Macaca fascicularis: one gene and its partner. The protein of the gene in region 1 interacts with the protein of each later gene in a pairwise test. Links are inferred from orthologs where the notes say so. Each region holds a gene or a part of one and is shown on either strand. Other genes may lie near its edges. The genes, in order: FHL5 and CREM.

Evidence for each region.
Region 2: the proteins of FHL5 (region 1) and CREM interact in a two-hybrid assay, tested with the Homo sapiens proteins (2 studies listed by BioGRID). The link is inferred for Macaca fascicularis from reciprocal best matches to the Homo sapiens genes FHL5 and CREM.

Annotation. Positions count from the first base shown.
Region 1 is NC_088378.1:78,729,687-78,733,515, forward strand, and holds part of FHL5 (four and a half LIM domains protein 5), read right to left. Parts: intron 2,403-3,829; 5' UTR 2,391-2,402; coding exon 2,232-2,390; intron 1,225-2,231; coding exon 1,050-1,224; intron 73-1,049; coding exon 1-72. UniProt on the Homo sapiens protein: May be involved in the regulation of spermatogenesis. Stimulates CREM transcriptional activity in a phosphorylation-independent manner.
Region 2 is NC_088383.1:35,955,461-35,959,289, reverse strand, and holds part of CREM (cAMP-responsive element modulator), read right to left. Parts: intron 1,918-3,829; coding exon 1,820-1,917; intron 1,672-1,819; coding exon 1,529-1,671; intron 1-1,528.

The DNA of each region.
Region 1 (3,829 bases):
GTTGTCGGCAATTCTCACACACAAAACAGGTTTCATGCCAGTAGTTTCCTTTAAATTCCATTTTGCGGGAACCTGTACTCCAAAATTAAGGACCTGTTAGTATAAGTCAAGCATAATACAGATCAAATTACTTTAAGACGTTTTAAGTTAAGATGATAAATGAATTGTCCTTTTAGAAAAATAGCATTTTTTCAGGTTCAAAAAAACCCATTCATCTGAGAAAAAAAAAAAAAAAAAAGAAAAGGTTGGTAAAGTTCAGCCATGGTGATGGAGAATCACTCTTACACTGAAAAGTCTTTCAAGCCCTTCATAACCTATAATCTGGAGATGTAAAAGTACTTCGAATGAAGACTCCTAATCGTTTTACATGGTTTGGATAAATTGGGCCATCAAAATCATTACAGGGGTATTAAAAATGCCCTGAGCACAACTGCTGAGACTACGCTGTGCAGTTATGGCCTTCTAGAAAATCTCTGAATCCATAATAAGAAAATGAGAGAGAAAGAGTGAGACAGTAAGATTGAATTATGTTCTTATGCTGCTGTCCATAGAGATTGAGAAGAAGATCAAAATATAAAGAATTAGTCCTTGCCAAAAGTGGAATGATATACATGAACCCTGTCTTCCCTAAGAGAGAATAACAATGACTGATCCCCAAAACAGTTTGTGTCAAGCTACAAAATGACAGTTGGCCCCAGTCGCCTATGATGAATCACTCTTTCTGATGCCATTCATTATGCCTAGGGCACTGCGTTTAATGTAGTATTATTGCTATAAATTTTTCTTTATTTTATGGGTGAGGTTCTGGTTTGAAATGTTTCAATGAATTAGACTTTATGAAAATACACAGAACACTGTAATTTACCTATTCAAGGATAATGAATGAACAATCTTTTTATTTCTAAGGTACACGGAAGGAGATTGAGAGAGTAAGAAAGGTGTCTTTCTCAAAACCAGGGTTTTGGGAGCTGCAGCACTCCTCATGTGCTGGGACTTAATGAAAAGCATGGCAGCTTCAGTTAGAGACAGGAGCCCCCTTGAGATCCTACCAGGCATGATGGTCCTCTTGCAGTGGAAGCACTTGGAGGAGCATTCATTAGAATAGCACTCCGTGCACAGCAGGCGCTCATCCTTGGCAGCAAAAGGCTTTTCCACCAAAGAGTGATTGCATTTGGTGCACTTGAAGCATCCTTCGTGCCAGTGCCGGTCTTTGTAACAAAGATCCTTTGAGACAGTAAATAAAAGTTAATTAAATGTGGTTGTGACAAAACAGGACATTTTATAAGACAAAACTGAACACTCCTGGGACTCTCATGTCAGTAGGTTGTGCTAGTAGCTTGAGGGAAAGTTGTTACTGAAACTGTTACCCATAGAGAGGAGACTCTCTGGGGTAATTAAGAGCTAGAGCCCAGGGCTTTCTTGGTGGGTCACTTAAGGCAGCTGGGAAAAAACAAATGAATTCTCTGCTGTGTCTTCAAAATTTGCCTATATTCTTTTTATAAACTATGATAGAGGTTTTTCGTGGAATGATTTTTTAAAATTTTGGGGTACAATGTTCTATTACTTTTTGAGACTTATCTAAAAAGCAAACAAAAAAATAATATCACCTAAGTAATGCAAACGCAGAAAGAAAGGAAGAAAGACAGAGAGAGAGAGAAAGACATTTGGAGGATGGAAGGAAGGAAAGAAGAAAGAAAGAAAGAAAAAGAAAGAAAGAAAGAAAGTAAAAGAAAGAAAGAAAGAAAGAAAGAAAGAAAGAAAGAAAAGCATGTCGGAGGAATGGGTGGTAGGAGTGAGAGCTATCAGTAGGGCTTAGTAGAAATAAAGCTGATTTTACGTCAGAAAAGAGATTTTGAATCCTTACAACCTCAATTCTTTATGCATTTATTTATACCCTTGTCATTCCAGAAATAACAAACACACCCAGAGGGTTACCAAGGGCTTGGAAACAGCAGGAAAATTCTAGCTGTGTAACTTTGGACAAATAGCTTAACATCATTAATCTTTAGCATTCTCAGCTACCTTATAAGATCATGTGAGGATTAAGCATATGTTGTATTTCATAGTGCTAAGTGTAGTGGCTAGAGTTTGACTGCTGGTAACTTTTAAGATCCTTGTATATCCAGTAGCAGAGAAATGGTGTTGAAAGTCAACACTAAAGGAAAAGAGGCACTCCAACCCACTTGTTTGCGTTCATATGCAGTAATTCTGTAAATTGTGTTGAGACTTACCTTAGAATCAGATTCAATTGGTTTTTTGCACTCCTCGCAATAGTTAGAAAATACACGATCATAACATGTAACACAGAACAGACTGTCATCCTTTAGTACATATTTCTTCCCAAGAAGTGATGCTGTGCAGTATTGACAGTAAAATTGAGCAGTTGTCATTTTGGTTTGATCCTGTGAATGACAAAGTGATTCATGTATATAAAAGCAGAATTTTGCTTATAGGATAAATGATGAAACCTTAATATAATGTGAGTGAAGCATTCGGATGAATTTATATTTTCTTAAGCAAAAATCCACCAATTTAGGAAAATATGCTTCTAGTCATGGTGACATTTGGAGTGATTTAGGAAAGGTTACTTTCCCATCTTGGCAGTTCTTGTGTGTTTTGCTAAAAAAATGCATAAAACCTGCAGCTAGATTATGAAAAACATCTTGTGTTTATCATAAGCTAATGTGGAATTCAATGAGAATATGGTATCTGTTGAAACAGGATGGTTTTACCTCAAGGATATAAATATAAACTGTTGCTAGGGCTTTTAATAACTCTCATCACTTACTTCTTGCTGGAAAGTTCTAGAGGCAGATTTTGATGGAAAAACAGTCTTTTTTACTGAAATATAAATTAATAATCAATACATTGTCATTCGAGTCTTCACTGAATAAGGGCTCTGCACATTTACCCCAAGGTCTTCCTGTACCACATCCCCTCCTTAGCTGTGACTTCCACCATCCCAAATGTGCTGATGACTCCAAAATCTCTGTTTTCTACTAGCTTTAGATATCTTCATTTAAATATCTTTTACCAAGCTGGCCAAATAAAACTCCTCAGCAGGTAGGATTCTGAACAAGTGCTAGGTCTTTGTGACTATTGTTGAACAATTGCCCAAATGCAGAAGTGCATATAAAATCATCAGTGGTAGAAAACAATAATAGGTTCCTTCAGGCTTTAGGGCCAAAGTAACATGTATAGAGCATGAATAATAGCAGCAGCTATTCCATTATAGCTATGGATAAAATAGCTAGAATTCATCTGCAAGGTGAAAATCATTCTGTAAGGTGAATAAAAAAGCTGATATGAAACCTAAAGCCAGTGGTAGATAAGGATTCTGATTGTCTTGTAAATTTGGAAAGCCATTAAGAAACAACGCATATAGATTTCCAAAGGTTTTAATTAGGCGTTGAACATGAATTCTTTGTTGTTACAAAAAAAAAAAAAAAAAAGTAGTACTGCTTTTCCTCGGAAAATGAGATTTGTCATCTCAGGATTTACTGGAATATATTAGGAGCTTTGAATATTTTCTAATTCTCTCCCAACAGAATTTTTTTTTAATTTTGGCAAAATCAGAGGAGCAATTAACGATGATGATACAACAGCGTTTTTGATACTAGTTTGTACTGACTACATTTGAACTGTTATTCTCATGCGTTTTGCCTTATTCTAGTGATGAAGTTCCCAGCAGAGAGCCTTGCTAAATGCACATGATTATTAATTCTGTACATAGCAGTTTTGCTATATTGTTCTTCACTAACAAGTAGAGAAAAGGCAGAGGATTTGGAATATGTGGGTCTTTTCCCAGGAAAGATGAAATGCAGACTAG
Region 2 (3,829 bases), on another chromosome or scaffold:
ACCTGCATGCTGTGCTGCAGAGGCTCACCAGCAGGCCTTGCACATTAGCATACTCAGTTTTACAGTTCTAAAACCCACCAGAGATTCCCAGTGTGCCAGACAAAAGAGCATGTAAACGAAAGAAGTAATAAAAAAGTGACAATGTAAACCTCAAGGTCTATTTCTTACAGATGATGGGGAGTTTTCTTTTCCTAACACTGACTTTGGACAAGTCTACTGGGTGCCCTGTAGAAGGTGTGAATATACTACACCCCGGATCTACTAGGTATCATGGTAGGAGTTCCCCTCAATTACCAACAGAGAATGTATTTAATAGTTTACAACTGCAAATCTACCAATGCTATAAGAAAAACTCTAAAAAGCTCCAAAAAAAAAATGACTACATAAAGTCTTCTCATATATTAAAAATTATAGCTTGTTTTAGTAGCCAGGACTTAAATTAAGACTTGAGATTTTTTTTCCTTGGTATTGCTACTTTTTAAAGGAAAAACAAAGAATATATCTAAAATCTCCATACCTTAATTGGATAAACACATTATTTAATATCACATATATTCCAGTACCTAAGTAGCTCTTTTTAAAGTCAGAAAACTAAAATCATGAATCTCTTCAACAATATGACTGCTGTCAATATATTCAGTGAATTACTTTGAAGGCCTAAGGTAGCAGAGTTTACAAAACTCACTTTACTTCATATTATAATTACATGGGAAACTGATTTGGACAATTTCCATGGACAATTTATACTTCAGAAAGGACAGGAATATCACATTATTCCAGTACCTAAGTGGCTAGCTTAGGATATGTGATATCCCTATCCTTTCTCTTCCTTTTTCCTTTCTTTCTAGCTCTTGGTTTTTACTATTTTTATGTATCAAACATTTTTCATTTGGGAAAAAACTAGTGCTTTAATCAGAGCTAAAAGCACAGAATTAACAGTCCATTAAAATGCACAAGACTGAATGTGAATGTATCTGTTTATTTAGAACTTTTGGTGTGTAAAATTTCAAATAAAATTATCTATCCAATTGCTACAGTTTAAAAACTTAAATCATTTTTCCATTCTCTTTTAGGAAAAACTGTAGCACCAATTAACAGAGAGTAGTGAAACATTGAAAACATACTTTAGAAAACTCTTAGATTAGTAAGTATAGTATGTAATTGTGGGTAACAGAAGCCAACAAGAATGAAATACAGACATTTATGTTTGCATGCATCATAAAGACAACAAAAACAATGTTTTACTAGAGATTAATATAAACATGTAAGTAGGAAAAAATCCTCCCTTTATTTTTACTCCAAATTTTTCTTCTATATTCAGCAGTTAAAATTTTTACTTTTCAAAATTATATGATAGTTGTCAATACAAATATCTCACTTTTTAACATATACTTTCATTCAATGATACAGTTTAGGTATTGATGCACTTAAAAATGGAACAATTTAATGCCAAAACCTGAGTTGCTTCAATATAACTAGAGAAGACTTAAAGCTAGCACTGTATCATATCGAATTGCAGCATACATACTGTATTGCCCCGTGCTAGTCTGATATATGCTAGTTGGTACTGCCATGGTAGCAATGTTAGGCGGTGTTCCTTCTTCCTCTGATTTTTCTTCTTCAATCTTGGGAACACCAGGCACATCAGAGGACAGTTCATTCAGTATTTTCCTAAAATATAATTTAACAATGTAAGTCACTAAGATACATGAATTGACTCTTAAAACAGAAAAGCTATAAAGGAAGAATTGATTTGATGAATAATTATTCTACCATTTTGGAAAAAGTATCTTTACAGTAGGAAACTTGGTTAACTTACCTATAAGAGGGTCTTCGTGAAAGGATTTCTCTACGTTTATGAGAATCAATTACACCTTCTGATTCTGCAGATTCATCTGTCTCTGCAATTGTTGCTACCTATAATACAAGATTTTCTGAAATGTATCATAAAATATATGTTCTTTTCCCTCATTCAAAAAATTGAGGCTAAGAGTCTGCGTGTGCAGCACTGAGCCAGGCACTGTGGAAGCAACCAAGCAATACAACACGGTGAATCTGCACTAAAGGAGTCTGGCTCAAGAAAGGAAGTGCAGACACAAACATTTCAGTTATAAAACAAACGTGTGTGGAAAGTAATGATACGGGTACTATATACTACAGAAATACAAGGGAAAGAGTGGTTGGGATGTCAAATGAGGCATTGCAGCAAAGAACAAAATGTAAAATACCCAAGACCTAAGCTCTCAACCTGAAAGTGCTCCTACGGATTCAGGAGGGAGCCAGCAAGGGGCCAAGGCAGAAGAGAGCTCCTGGATCACACTGCTGTCTCCACTCTCACACAGCTGGCACTGGCGTGAGCTGGGTCTTCACATTAGCTATCAGATAGGCCCAAGACAGAATATTTAAGTAGATAAGCAAGTCAGTAAGCAAGCCTGGGTAAAATTAGGATTTCTATTACAAGGAGTAAGTTAGGGTTTGGTGGTGGTAGGTCTTGAAGATCCAAATAAAGAATTTCTCCTTAAGAGAAAGATCAGAGTTTTAAGCATGATTTCATTTTTCAAGTCAAGTAATAATACAGTGATATGATTATTAAAGAAGTCAGAAAACTAAAACAATGAATCTCTTCAACAACATGACTGCTTTCGATATATTCAGTCAATTATTAATACTTTGAGGGCCTAGGGTAGCAGAGTTTACAAAACTCACTTCATATTGTAAGTACATAGGAAACTGATTTGGATAAAATCAAAAGAGCTTATCAAAATATCAACAATGCAAGCAAGAATATATACTTCCCAAAGTACACGGAGGTGTATATTCACCTTCACATATGACTCTGCATCTTTGCTCATGAATGCCCCACACATAAGCACACACACTCAATCAACAGAACTTACTGAAAAAAATGTTGTTGCCTCAGATAATCATATATCACCACCAAATATTAAGTATTTATCACTTTACACCGGGCTCTCACACATCTGTCATAGAATCATAACAACTCCCTTAGGTGAGGTAGGCTATTAATTTATCTATTTTAGAAAAGGTGAAAATTAAAGTTCATGCAGAGGGATTAAGTATTCTAGGACAAGATCCACTGGCACCTCTTTCTACAAGGACAATTAGATCATTCACTTAACAAAATCCAAACAAAGCCTACTGAATATAAGAGAATACTTTCTTTCAGCTGGGTGCTCTGGCTCACACCTGTAATCCAGCACTTTGGGAGACTGAGGCAAGAGGATCACTTGAGGCCAGGAGCTCAACACCAACCTGGGTAACATACTGAGAATTCTGTCTCTATTAAATAATAAAATTAATAGACAATACTTTCTTCCAATACCAGCCAGGTTAAAACTCAGTAGAAATATGTGGACCCCAATAAAAGGCATAAAACAAAGAAGAGGTAGGAAAGACTTTCTTGTTTTATAATTAGTGTCAGAAAGAGTTAGAAACTCTTGGAATCAGGGGCCATCACAGGAAAAAAAGATAATGATGAGAATTATTCTTACACTTTTGGGCAATACAGGAGAAGATACCCATGCCACAAAGATAATCAAGCTTTTAACATACGTGAATTTGTCACGTCAGGTATCTTGTTGCCACTCTCATCGTTCTCCTGTGATAAACTACTTGAACACGCGGGAAAAGGACTACACTATGTATATGTGTCTCCCTTTTCCTCACAGATTTTTTTTGGTCATCAATTAGGTTCAGATAATTTCAGCATTTAAAGGATAATAACTGACCTTAAAAAGGAACAAAAATAAATTCAGTAATTAAGATGCATACTTTAAAAAAATGCATACTTAATAATTTACATCTATTG